Alligator mississippiensis: one gene and its partner. The protein of the gene in region 2 binds, or shares a complex with, the protein of the main gene of each other region. Links are inferred from orthologs where the notes say so. Each region holds a gene or a part of one and is shown on either strand. Other genes may lie near its edges.

Region 1 (6,719 bases), on a different chromosome or scaffold from region 2:
CTGCCTACCTCCATATTTGGGCTGGTGCACTGAGAGCAGCTACTTGATAGAAAAGTTGCTTCCAACCAGCTGCTGGAGATGGGAGATGAGAACAAAATCAAGAATATAACAACTCCCCATCAGAGGAGCCACCTGCTCGGCTGGTGCTAATTGTCAGCCATGTTGTCACTGTCAGGCCAAACACTGGATGGATACAGAGGGTGAATTATTTGCATTACCCTTTCAATAGGAGGAAAGTGCTCCCAAACCCAGGGTCAGGGCAAGTTAGCAGTGAGCAATTCAAGGAAGGCTGTGATGCTGTGTCTTTGCCATGCCTGTCACGTGGCTCAGGGGCTTGGCCCCCCGGGGCTGCGATTCCCGTGTTGTTCTCCATCACTGAGACAGGGGATGGTATTTTCAGTAGAACAAGTCTTTGCCCTTGCATTGCACACTTCCTTCCCAGCACCACACAATCAAAGGCCCAGGTCTGAAAACCAAGGGCCCCCAGCCCGGGAGGTAGCCCTAATTAAGTAGGCTGGGACTGATGGAGTGCTGTGGGTGGTGGGGCAGGGAAGGGGAGAAAGGGGCACAGTTTAATCAGAGAGTCTCATGTGCAACTTGTCAACAAAGCTTTGAGGAAAAACCTTATTTAAAAAACACTGGGCTCCTGGAGATTTGCAACCCCCCTTCCAATATTCTCCCTCCCAAACGTCCTGGATGGAAGTGGCCCAGCCTCTGGACAGCTGTGCTTGACTGACTGACTTAAGGAAACTCTCTGTGGGCCAGACTGCTCTGGCCCATTGCAGGGAGCAGGATGGAGATGTAAGGGAGCTCACTGCATGGAGCTGCCTCGCATTGCAGAGTCATCCAGCACATGTGAGCAATGGAGCCAAGGCTCTGCGTGCTCCCCATGTCCTTCACAGTGAAGCATTGTCGGGGGATCTCCGTAGCAGTCACCATGCTCTCTCAAGCCACTGGGGTGATGTGTGGGTCTGCTCCTTCCACCCTCCTTCCCTTAATCGTGTGGCTGCCTCTGGGTCAGCCCCCAACTCGGGGCTCTTTCAAAAGGATATTGCTCTAGAAAGGATCTCCCTGGCCTCTTGCTGTTTCCATTTTGCAACTGGCCTGCGGGTTAATAGGTGAGTAGTGAGTGACTTCTTGGTTGACAGAAAAACCTCAAAAAGTCAGCAGAGGGCTGTGCAAGTCACGTCAAGATTTTATTTAAATGCTCTAGCTGCTGAAAAGGAAAGATGCCAGAGCACCACTCAGCGCTGCTACTTAAGACTAAAATAGCAGCACTGCAGGAACCATCTGCGCTAGCCCCCAGCCTGTATCCATATATGCCACTGCCGTGATATTCCTGTTACACCCGCGACAAGGCTGAGACAGGCTGTGTCAGCACTTAGAGGAGTCAGTCTGAGGGGCACATTCAGTAGGTGTCCCTGCTGCCTCTGAGTGACTGTCCCGGTACTGAGGTAGGAGGTCAATAAAACTGCCTTGGAATGAGATGGAAAATTGAGGGGGGGTACCAGGATGCCAGATTTAGACATGGTGAAAGGAGCTGTGGCTCTGAAAGGAGCCCCTGGATTAAATGCAGGAATAATGCAAATGGTCGTATGAACCAGTGAAAAAGTGGGTTAATGTGCACAAGCAGCATTTCCAGCATCAAAGTGGCATTAAGAAGTGCGCGAGAAAGACAAGTGTCGAAGGGGTGCGAGGTAGAATAAGCACCAAGTCACTGACTGTAGGCTGCGAGATGAAAAGCTCTTCCCTTCATTCAGCTTTACACTGTCCTGTGAGTAGCTTTCTCTGCCAGGCTCTTCCCATCCAAGCTTTGGAACAAGGGTAATACTTATCAGGGCAGGTTACACCCCCTTGCTCTTACACTCTCTTTCTGGGCTGCTCCCCCATCCTCACTGGGTTTGGCCAAAGTTAATGAAAGTTTTCGTTACTATAAGTCTTGTCTTGATAATATGTAAGTGGCAGAATGCCCCAAGAGGACGTTTGCAGGTGTCTGTCCAAGCAGCTAGGATAGGAGTGGGGAGTGGGGAGGTGACGGGGGGACTTGAGCAGCCTTCACTGCCCATAGAGGGCCAAGGGCTTGTGTTGGCTCCTGGGGGAAATGGGGGTGTCTGCAGGACAGCTCACCTGGGACTGCCACATGAAGTGAGAGGAAAGTCAAATAAAGAAAGAGGGGTGGGAAAAGCAGGAGGCTTTCAGGTTGATGAGAGGTGGCTGGAGGGAAACAGAGCACACAGGGGGACAGTACATAGGTGTGGAAGGATGATAAGAAGGATGTTAGTGGGCTGGTAGCTTTGTACACACTGAGGAAGATGTTACATAATCTGATGTGTAACCACACAACCTGCCCCACTCATCTTCCTATCTCCTCCCACCTATTGCAGCAGCTCACTTTGCATCAGATCTCTCCATGGCATTCAAGCCCTTTGGGGCAGAGACAGTGCCTATACATCTGGGAAGCACTTCTGGATCACTACAATAAGCACGTATGGCATCTGGATCACTACGATGAGTTATAATGAAACTAGTGGAGAGTTCTGCTTGAAAAACACGTTATGAATCCTGGGTCTCCTTGGACATGGCTTTTTTTTCCTATGTCAACTTTTAGGATGAATCCAAATCAAAGTCTCTCTCTCAAAGCCCGGCAGCTGGATATATATATCCCAGGGAGGCTGAGCACTGTCATTAATGCACATTTAATTTAACAAGAGAAGTGCAAAATCAGTTACCAAGATGGTGGGCCCGGTCCCATTCCTGGTAGAACCGGCAAGAATTTTGTCACTGACTATACAAATCACTGAGGTGAACTGTCCGAGGTGAACCTGCCTGATGAATTCCACGTAAGAGAGATCCAGCTAAGAACACAATCTAGTCTATAAACAGCCACCTGACTTATGTACAATCTTCTAATCATTGACTTAGTGTTTGCAGTTGCTCTGTCTGCAGTTGAAAGGTGATGGTCAGTAGGCTGTATAAATGGGACACTATGGGTATAAAACGTCCTGAATCCATTTCAATAGTCTGTTCTTGTGGGCTAGCCTTGGCTTCCTTGTCCTGACTTCCAAGTGCAATCCCTTGCAGCAACTGTTTTCATGCAGAATGGCCCTGCTTATTTTGCTTTTCCTTGGCATACAGGCACTGTGCTCCCAGGCTTTCTCTACTCCTGTGAAGGAACTGCAAAGTCCTTTCCTCTTCCCTGCATGCAATGACTCAGCAGTGGAGTCAGCGGTAGATGTGGCTCTGGGCCAAATCAATACTGGACGAACCGAGGGCTACGTGCTTAGGCTGAATCGAATTTTCAGCGTCCTGGAACACCCCCAGGTAAGCAACCCTTTTGTGCTCTGGGTGTTTTGCAGGTGGAGGGAATTGCTGCCCTGTGTCTGAACATTTTCCTCAGTTCATATATTCATAGAAGTTAGGGGCTGGAAGGGATCTCATGAGATCATCAGGTCCAGCCCTCCTGCTCTTAGACAGGAAAGAAAGGACTGCTGGGGTCAGATGAGCCCAATGTAAAAGGTTAAAGGTTTATGGGGTTCAGGCTTGCACACAAACCTGAAGAAACAGCTTCATGAGCTACTTGAGCACCTGGGAGTGGAGCATCAGGGTTGATTCTCTGCTGCAATGAACCTTGTGCACTTCTGTGCAAAGTGGGGGTAAAACCCCACCACTCCAAGTTCAATACAATCTTGAAACCCACCTGGCCCAGGGGTAAATGAATATACCAGATGCAAGACAACAGTGAACTGGGTTCAGGGAATCGCTGCAACTGGGCACTTAGGAAAGACTGAATCATCAAAACAGCTTAGAAACCATCTCACGTGCAAACACCACGTTGGATTTCTTTTTTAAAAATATAACGGCCTCGCTCTCTTTTTGTGAAAGTTTGCATGGCAGTAGCATCCTGGAGCCCCAGCCAGAATCTCTGTGATGCCAGCCTATAATGTGTATAATGGTCTAAGGTGCTAAGCATTATACAAACATGTCATTAGCATTCCCTGATGCAGCTGTTCACTAACATAAGCTTCTCTCTGTGTTCGTTTGCATTGTTTTAAGGCAAACAGCCTGTGGCATCAGAGAAGCTCAGGCGCAGTGCTGAATATTTACAGGTTTCCCACATGTGTTAGGATTTGTCACCATTTCTCCTAACTAGGGCCCAGCTTCTCTAACAATCTGCACAGGAAGGTGCTGTGGCTAGATTTACCCTCAGTAATCAGAACCCTTGACAATAAATATGCATGCATGTTCCAGCATGCTTAAGGCCAAATTCACTACTCCTCCACATCCCCACACAGCGTAGGTGGGACAAAAATGCCTAGGAAGTAACTGGATCAAGCCTGCTGAGACTTTCTCTGCTGGAGGCACTCTCAGCTGCCACAGAAACAGCAGAACCCAGTCCTGCACTATCTGCTGAACTGGCCTCATCATCAGGGGCATATCAAAGCTGTTGATGGGTAGGCTGTGGGTGTAGCTACAGCATAGTGTGCCCTCGCAATCACCAACTGGACATGACCCATTAGGGCCTACTACTCTTGGCATAAATTAGAGCAGTGTGGGCAACCTTTTCAGCAGGCATGTCACAAATTAGCCTCGTGCTATCTCCGTGTGCCACTCTGATCCCAATCTCCTGCTCTCCTTTCTACTCCCTGCCTTGTATGCCTAGCCTGATCTGCTGCTCTGCTCTCTGTCCTGTCTGCTGCTGGGCTGCCTGTCCCCTCCCTGATCTGCCACATGCCACGCACAGAGGCTGCCTGTGCCACTTGTGGCATGTATGGCATAGGCTGGCCACCCCTGAATTAGAGCAACCCTGGGCTACTCTAACCCATATCAGAACTTGTGCGGATGGCCCAGGAGGTACTTGCTCATTGGTGGGTCCTTCTTGCTTCACCTGTGCCAAACACTGCAGTACAAAATGGTCATAGAATAAGAACTCCTGGATACACACAGAGTCCAGGAAGTCTGTTATCCCATGAGATGCTGCATGAGGTCAAGGACTTCCAGGTGGTGGAATAGGAGCAGGCCAACCACAAAGGCAGCAGTAAACTATCACCTCTGTACAATAAATACTTGTACACAGGTTTCTGTAAATAATAACAGGTTGTTTCCAAATCACAAGCCTCCAGATTCTACACAAGAGACAATGTGGAGCTCAATTTTACATATGGTCCTTCACTTGCATCCCTTGATATTTCCCGTATTTCCTTTAAGGCACAGCTTGTGTCTTGCTTTGTTTGGTTATTTTCTATTTTGACTTACTCTTATTTCCCTTTGTTTACAAAAGATACCAAAGGAGGTGCCCCCAACACAACCTGGAATAGCAGAACAGATCAGCTGAACCTTCTGTCACACGGGTGCTGCTGTGGGAATGGAATATATAATGCGTATTTGAATAGGCCATGAATATTCAAACATGCTAATAGAGCCCTTGGAAGCCTTTGTTCCTCAAAAAGATTCAAGGAATTGACTTTTTGCTGTCAGTCAGTAGAAAAAATATATTCTCTCTCCTCTTCCCCCACCTCATTTTCTCAACCAATAGCTAGGATGACAACTTTTCCAAAACGACTTCTACCCTAAGCAAACTGTGGCTCAATATTGCTGTAATTGAAGTCAATGAGAGTTTAGTCCCTGACACAAGGATGCTTTCAGTCAGAGGAAATGCTGAACAAGGCACCTCAATGATAGGCTTTTCACTAGCTTTCACCTTGTCGTTAGCTTTGGAGATGTATTTCCCTTTTCTTTGCAGCATGTCCCCCTGCCTACTTCAAGGTGTGTACAGAAGTTACACTTTTTTGTGTAATGAAGCCACCAAAAGTGCTCTGAAGCTATAACATAAATGTTCAGGGCTGCAGAACTCTTTAAAAATGGCAGATTGCATGAAAAGTGAACCCTCATCTAATGTAGTATTAGATGAAGGGGCTCTAGGGCAGAGCACCCTACCGAACTTATGTACAGGTTTGCATTGAAGGTTAATTTGGGGCCATTTTGCCCACATCCCAGGGCCTTTGAGGGGCTGTCACAGGGAGGAGACAGAAAAAGCTCTGTCTCCTCCCTGTGCAGCTGGGCGAGACGGGAGGGAGCCCTGCTAGTGCACATGGACCCTCCTCACCTTCCCCCCCTCTCCCCCCCACCAGCTACCCCTGCTGGGGCCTTATGGGCCAAGCCTGCAAGGTGGGGGCTGTGTCTCCGCCCCACCCCCTGCCCCAGCTCTAAGCATGGCAGTGAGGAGGCTGCCACTGTCAAGTGGCTTATCCAGGGGAAGGGCGGGGAAAGGAGCTTCCCCTGGCACATGGGCCCAAGCCAACCCCTCCCAAGACCCCAGCAGGGGTAGTTTGGGGGGTTGCATGGTGAGGGATCCATCCTCCGCCCCCCAACCATTGCTGATAGTTGTTGCCAGCTGGCAGGGGGTGGTGGGGCTGGTAGCCTCCTGGGAGGCTGCTGGAGTGCCTCTGTCCACTTGCCAGGTCTGCTGTAGACAGGTTGCAAGCCCTCACCTGCCCCGCAATGACACTCTATCCATGGCACTTTTGTGTAAAGCACCATAGTCAGAGTGCCTCCCCAACGGGCTGCCTAAACGTCTGCACGCACACCAAGTTGCCCCCTGTGGTTACTAAAACCCTCCTGGTTCCAGGACTCTTCAGCAAACACTGGGCTTGGGGCTTTGATGTCAGCAGCATCAAAGCGAGGGGCCCAGAGCCTCTTCAGAAAACAGGCATCAGGTGTTA
Region 2 (6,719 bases):
TTATTCTGAATAACGCTGTTATCATCCTTGAATCCAAACTCTTCCTCCACAATTCCCACATTGGTACTGCTGTCTGTTGACCCTCAAGTAATATTGCCTGTTGTCACCATTTCTCATCCTTGACTTCATTTCCCTTCACCTTGATTATAAGAGATTCCTCTTGTCTGGATTCTCCTAACTTCAGCTCTCCAGAGTCTGGTAGATGACTGTACTCAAATGTGCTTCTGAGCATGCACTCAACTATGCCACCAAATTCTTTCTTTAAACAACTGAGACACCTTCCTCAGCTCTTTGGCCATTTCAAGACTCAGCTCAAAATTTTTGAAATAGATGTGAGGGGAGGGAAGAGGGTTCCTTTTGTGTTTGTGTGAAAGACTTGATGACATTTTATTACACTTTTTGGGCAAATGTTCCCCTCAGCTATCCCGGTTCATTGGCTTCAAAAGGTCTTGCAAAAGAGAGGAGTGATTGATTTGTCTTTTGAGACACGCAGCTTTCACCAAAAACTCTATACAAAATGCAGTATCCAACTGATGTACTATGATGTGGCTCTATAAACATTATACTTTATTATCCCAAATACATCGATAGATATGTTAAGAATACTAAATATCATCTATAGTCTTGTGTTGCTTCTCAGTGTAGGAGATTTAGCGGTCAGGTTTTTTCAGATTGCTTTATATTGTGTTGCTGCAGATATTTGTTCCTTTTCCACATGCATTTATGTTATGGATGCTACACACCTGTGGATCCTCTGTTATTGATTCACTATTTCATTTGCCTGTGCCCAGCTGCACTCACCCTCAGCATAGCCCTTGAAATTCCTTCTAACCCTTTGCTTCTAGAGGGTGAACCCTTGAAATGTTTCTTTATGCTAAGAAGCCATGGAGCATCCTTACTGACAATGGCACTTCTGCTAAAGAGATTTGTGGTTTTCCATATATATAGGCTTCAAAACAGGCCAACACAGTATTAGGTATTAGTATTAGTATACTGGGGAGGTGGAGAGGGGGACGACACAGACCTCTCCTCGTACTAACAAGTATATCTAGCTAGCTAGCTAGCTAGTTACCTTGCTAGCTATATTTCCTTATGCCCCTTTGTCCTTGGTTCATCTTGAGTTTTTGGAGAGTCCTTCTCAGCTTGTCAGAGTAACTTTTGTCTTACAGCTGGAGTAATCATAAGGCCACATTAGTTTCAGATATAAAAAGTTGTCTTGTTTAACATTTTGAATTTGGGGTAGAGCCTGGACCCTCATGCTGATCTGTGTGGCTCCTCCTCAACTCTTTGGGAGGTAATGTTTGAGGTATCATGTGATCTCTTAGAAGACCCCACTCCTCCTCCTCCTCCTCCTCCTCCTTTGGTACTCTTCATTCACAGAGGTGGTCTGCTGGACAGAAAGCCATTTTCCTGGAAAACATTGGAAGATATCTTCTCTCATTCAATCCTTTATGGATCTCCTTTGGTTGAGCATGGGGGAGAAGTTGGCTGGAGTCTACATTTCTACAGCCCCAGGGTAGAAGGGAAAGGGAGAAGGGCAACAAAATTGAGGAAAGGAATCAACTTCCAGTTTTACTGCTCTGCAGAAGCTCATACAGCGCCCAAAGCCAAGCAAATATTGGGGTAAGCTGTCTGAGCTGGAAATGGCTTCTTTGTTGGTAAAACCCTCAGTGCTGTTTTTCCTTAGCATTTAGAGTTGCTTATATTTTTTTCCAATTACTTACATTACTTACCTGTTGGTTAGTGTCAGACAGAGGTAGGAGAAGGCACCTTGTCTACATTCCTACATTTTGTCGTAGGAACAATTTGAATTAAACTAAATCCTTGCCCTGTCCAGTGTAGACTTGCAGCTCTCCAAATGTGTGACTTCTTCAGAGAATGCTCTCTAGTGATACTAAGCTAAATATTTCAGTTTTCACCAGCCTGGGCTAATAAGGTGTTACACTTCAGTTCTGCTAAAAAAGTAGCCAGAAAAAAAAGTGACCCATACGGCTGTATAGAGGAACCACTCAAAAAAAAATTTTAAATAGCTTTAATTAGCTTTCAGTAAAAATGGAACTTTTTAAACAGCTATGTACACACATAGTATTTTCTGAGCTCTTAAATACTATGTGTAACCAGTGTAAAAGGAACTTCATAGAATCCTGCAACCCCTTTCATTTATCCAAGGCTATATCAACATATTTCCAATGACTTCAATAGAATTAGGCTTGATTTTCACCAGTACAAGTCAGGTCCATTTATTCAAGTTCACTCTCACTCAGAAATTGAGCCTGGAAATGTTCCACTCAAAAAGTGAAAGTTTTAGGACGTTCAGAGAAACTGGGGAAAAAAAAAAGGTTTGATAATGGGAGCATTTAGGCAACCTGTATGGCTATCCCAAACCATTTGGCTCTAAGACAATCAGCAAATGTAGAACAAAGGTTAACAAGCTAAAAGAAGAAAAAACATACAGTTAGGGAGGCTAACCATTTCATACCAAGGGCAAGCTAGGAGGTGCTAACATAAATGTTTTGCATAGCTTGTATGCAGACTGTCTGACAGCAAGGCTGTTAAAGGCATACTATATTCTGCTGCGGTAAGTCCCACTGGGGGAGATAGAAGAGATTACAGCAGATGCTTCTAACCTACAGCATGTACCCACTGACCCAAATCCCTGCACAGCGAGGGTGTCATTGGCCATACTTGATAGTGCCATACATAGAAAGAGGTTGGCACAGATGGGACAGATTTTCATAGGGAGACTTCTCAGGCTGTCACTTGAGCATGATGCAGAGACTTGCCACTGCTCTCTCCCAACATGCAAAGCCCCACTTCCTACTGACACCCTTGGAGAAAATAAAAAATAGGATGAACACCAATGAAAGTCATTAAACTGTGATACGGTGTCCCGAGGGAATTGGTGGAAGCCCCCAACAATACAGTCATTAACCTCTAGAATGGACACAGCTTTGGAAAAAATCCCTAAAATTGGACCTGAGGTCATTGGCGATCAGTTTTTTTTTTTCTTCTCTAGCTTCTGTAATTTGGTGTTAATTATTAATTGAAAACAATTTAAAGACTAATTCTGTCACTCCCCAGGGATGTAAATCTGCTCAGGCAGCTGGAGTTAATTTAGGTTTATGGCATTGTAACTAAGAGCAAAATCTGACCCAGAGTATTGACAGACAGCAAACGCGACAGAGAGAATCAACAATAGAGATAAGTCCCTTGATTTAACTCTGGGCAGAATTCAGGACTGCTTACTGTTCCAGCTTTTCATCATTTGGATTGAAAGTTATCAGGGTTCCCAGTTAAATGTTTGGTTTTTTTTACATGGACTTAGGCAAATTATGATATTGCCACAAGCAATGTTTTTTTAAAAAAAGGTTCCTGTTTAATAACTCTCAGAGTAAAAATAAGGAGTTCAAAGTTTCTTGCTAGATACTCTGGGCAAAGTTCAGAGAACGGCCTTATAAATTCTAAGAGATTACGGGGTCTGTTTTCTTCTTCCACGGCAAGAATGGCCTCCACTTGCATCTTCTCCTGCCTGTGTCTGACACTCTTTTTCAGCCATTGCACTCCTTTCTCCGTAAGTATTACGCCCTACTTTTCCAGCTCCCCCTCTCCCTCTTTGGGCTCTCTGCACTTCATGCAATGCATATTTTGCTCTCTTTCAGGTTCAACAGCACCCAAGGGAAGATGGTAAGGGCTGCTTAAACTATTGCATGTTCCAGCACATTTTCTGTTATTTTCTGGGAATGAGGGAGAAGGGTGGTGGTGGTTGGGGCACCACGCCTGTCCTGTTGGTTACAAAAAGTTTTCCTTTTCATATATTTTTCTTGCAGCCTTTGATGCTGATGCTGGTGAACTAAGGAAAGATATTCCAGAAATAAATTTAGGTAGGTAGTTTTTCTCATCCCCTTTCAATCTCTGTGAGAACACTGTAAGCTGGTGGGTGTTTTCAAATATTAGGAGTAGAAAATTTAGAAGTAGAAGCTGTATTTATTTATTTTATTCCAGGAAGAGTAGACAGTGATATCAAGGAAAATAAGTAGAGGTGATGCAGGCAGTGTCTGAGTGAGATTCTGCATTATTAGTAGCTTGGTCAATACTCTTGAATCTCACCTTGCAACATGCCTGCTTTCCAAGCCATTGCTTTCTCCTAGGTGAAAACTGCAGGTTGTTTTGAAATGGGTAGTAATTTTATGACACGAGTGAATATTCACTAGGGCAGCATAAGGGCTTCTGAAGATTTGGTGCTAGTGGGACCAACCCACAGCTGTTGTGAATCCACAATGAAGTAAATCGTATTTTACTAGCTGAGGATATGGCTCATAGTGAGGTACCCTGATGTACCCATTACAAATGGTTTTGCAAGCTAGCAATCATTTTTTTCCTGCTCTGTCAACGGCTTCTATAGAGAAGGAAATAATTTAGTGTTTTGCCATATATCTGAAGGCTTAGTATGGAAATGATGTGGAAGGATACCAATAAAATGCGCCCTCATCTCATCTTTTTGTTTCTTGTAATCCAACTTTGCGTACATTCATGCACACGTGCATACATTGGCAGACAAGGTTCTTTGGGTAAATCCGATATCTTTTATTAGACCAACTAAAAGAGTTGGAAAAATTCTTCTTTGCAAGCTTTTGGGTACAAACACCCTTCGCCAGGCTGAGGAAGTGCATACATATATTTTATATAGCTATATATATCTAATATTCATTATATTGTTAGGTTGCTTGTTCTAAGGGTGAGTGGAATAGAAAAGAATAGAATAGAATAGAATAGAGATAGATATGTATCCATTCATTCCATTCATCTTTAGAACTATCAGCTTAAGAACCCAGAGGATTTTCAATCTTGTGAAGCTTTAAGGGCCCCCGGGCTACACGGATGCCTCTGCTAGTGCACCACATGCCTGCATAGTCCTCTGCACTGTACCATGCAGGGCCCCCCTTCCGCCAATGCACCATACACCCACATAGGACCTCCTCCGAAATGCAGAACCAAGGGCCTGTGTGGCCCTGAACTCCCGTTCTGCTCCCACCCCATGTGTCACACTGTGAGGGGCAGGGGACAGAGGTGGGAGGCAGCAGTTGGAATAGGACGAAGGAGCCTGGAGCCCTTGGCTGCTGTTGTTGCAGCTGGAGCAATAGAGGGAGCAGTGGCCAAGCAGGAGCTTTGTGGCTGCAGATTAACCCCTTTTAGTCTGCCAGTTGAATAGGTGCGATCTATAGTTTGGCAAATGCAGTACAGCATGGAAAATGATGGAGCACCAACCTACAATAGTGTGCTTTTTAGCAATGCAGCGATACAGGTAGTGGAATCTGCTATTTGTTTGCTTGGAAACAGAAACCGATCCTAATAATAATCTGAAAATGTCCTTTGAGGTCTTGAAATCAACTTCTGCACCTCTAGCATTTTCTGTAATCTAAAACACCACGTTTAAGATTTTTAAATCATCTTTTTCTGAATTGTTTTTCAGCTGCTGGACTGGACCTCTTCCAGGGGGATATCTTACTGCCTGCAAGTATTTTCAGTTAGATGGGTATCATTTATCCTACTGATATTCATCTTATAAAACCCATTTTGCTCTCCCAAGGAATGCATTACTGGCTATTAACCTTCCTCTCTCTTTTTAACAGAATGAACGTAATGCCCTGAGAAATGAGAGCTATCGATGGAAGTTCCCCATTCCCTACATTCTGGCTGATGACCTGAGTAATGCAGACTGTGCTTTGTTTTTGAGATTTTGGGATGAAATCCTGGCCCAACTGGAGGCATCATGACACTAGAGTTTGACCCAATGGCAAACAATAGGAGATTAGACTTTTAAAAATATGCTAATAAACACTTGCAACCTGTATGCCAAAACCCATTTCCCCAGCCATGACAGATATAAAACTTGTCATTTTAAGCTTTGATCCTTTTTGGAGGTATATCATAATGCATGCACCGTATATAATATATGTCCACAGAGATATAGAGATCTAGACCATGTGTATTACTGATCTGTCACCTACTACGTATTAAAGGTATGTTGTTGAAATATATTTTCCAGACCTAAATGCCAAAGGAGTCATTCTTGAAGCTTTTGAAATGTTTCGCCTAAAGTCTTGTGTGGATTTCAAACCGTACAAAGGAGAGAGAACCTACATACTCTTCCAGCAAGGCAGTGGGTAAGTGTTATGTCAAAGTCCCAGATTCCTGTTTAACTTTTATTACATGACTTTGCTTCACCATTGTCATAGTAGGTGGTATGATTCTTCTGGAGCCCTACCGACCTTAACTTCTTTGCAGGCCTTTTTAGAGGCAGAGTTTGGGCTTTGCAATCTTTGGGAGAAAAGAAGTGATGAAAGTTCAAGATAATGAAGTATCATTATTATATCCGGTGTATAAATTGTCTTCTGATCACAGGGCATGATGGAGGCAGCTAGAAAGAACTGAGGTTCTTATTCACTCTTACCAGTTATGTATATAGCAGCATTCCCTAGCCCCGCCATTCCCTGCTCTGCCCACCTACTGCGGCACTTCAAACCTGGAAGTATGCCAATGAAGATGCTTCACCGAGCATCCCTCTAGCGCGCTCAAGACATCCGTATCTGGGGCTGTGTGTAGACAAAAAAAGAGGTGTGTGTGCATGACGCTTTAAAGCAGGCTCAATGCTTTTGTACCGCTTTAATAGTGTCAGTGTTTGCACACCTGGGCAGCATATTGCGCAGTAATTCCAGCCA

What was found. The genes of interacting proteins can lie anywhere in the genome.
Region 1: the proteins of meprin A subunit alpha (region 2) and FETUB are in contact, whole or in part, in a cryo-EM structure (PDB 7UAI), measured with the Homo sapiens proteins. The link is inferred for Alligator mississippiensis from reciprocal best matches to the Homo sapiens genes MEP1A and FETUB. Residues at the interface, in NP_005579.2 of Homo sapiens: Asp126, Gly127, Cys128, Trp129, Ser130, Glu131, Val132, Gln145, Gly146, Cys147, Tyr149, Ile152, His155, Glu156, His159, Tyr164, His165, Gln167, Ser168, Leu184, Gly186, Tyr187, His189, Asn190, Asp192, Tyr194, Tyr214, Gln215, Phe217, Ser218; in NP_001362516.1 of Homo sapiens: Phe109, Phe110, Lys144, Lys145, Tyr148, Met149, Thr150, Cys151, Pro152, Asp153, Cys154, Pro155, Ser156, Ser157, Ile158, Ser196, Ser197, Gln198, Trp199, Val200, Val201, Gly202, Tyr205, Phe206, Thr242, His245, Trp246, Phe249, Val250, Ser251.

Annotation. Positions count from the first base shown.
Region 1 is NC_081830.1:82,927,636-82,934,354, reverse strand, and holds the start of FETUB (fetuin-B), read left to right. Parts: upstream 1-2,994; 5' UTR 2,995-3,099; coding exon 3,100-3,321; intron 3,322-6,719. UniProt on the Homo sapiens protein: Protease inhibitor required for egg fertilization.
Region 2 is NC_081824.1:13,689,909-13,696,627, forward strand, and holds the start of meprin A subunit alpha, read left to right. Parts: upstream 1-3,464; 5' UTR 3,465-3,502; coding exon 3,503-3,571; intron 3,572-3,659; coding exon 3,660-3,684; intron 3,685-3,827; coding exon 3,828-3,881; intron 3,882-5,470; coding exon 5,471-5,511; intron 5,512-5,630; coding exon 5,631-5,706; intron 5,707-6,046; coding exon 6,047-6,164; intron 6,165-6,719.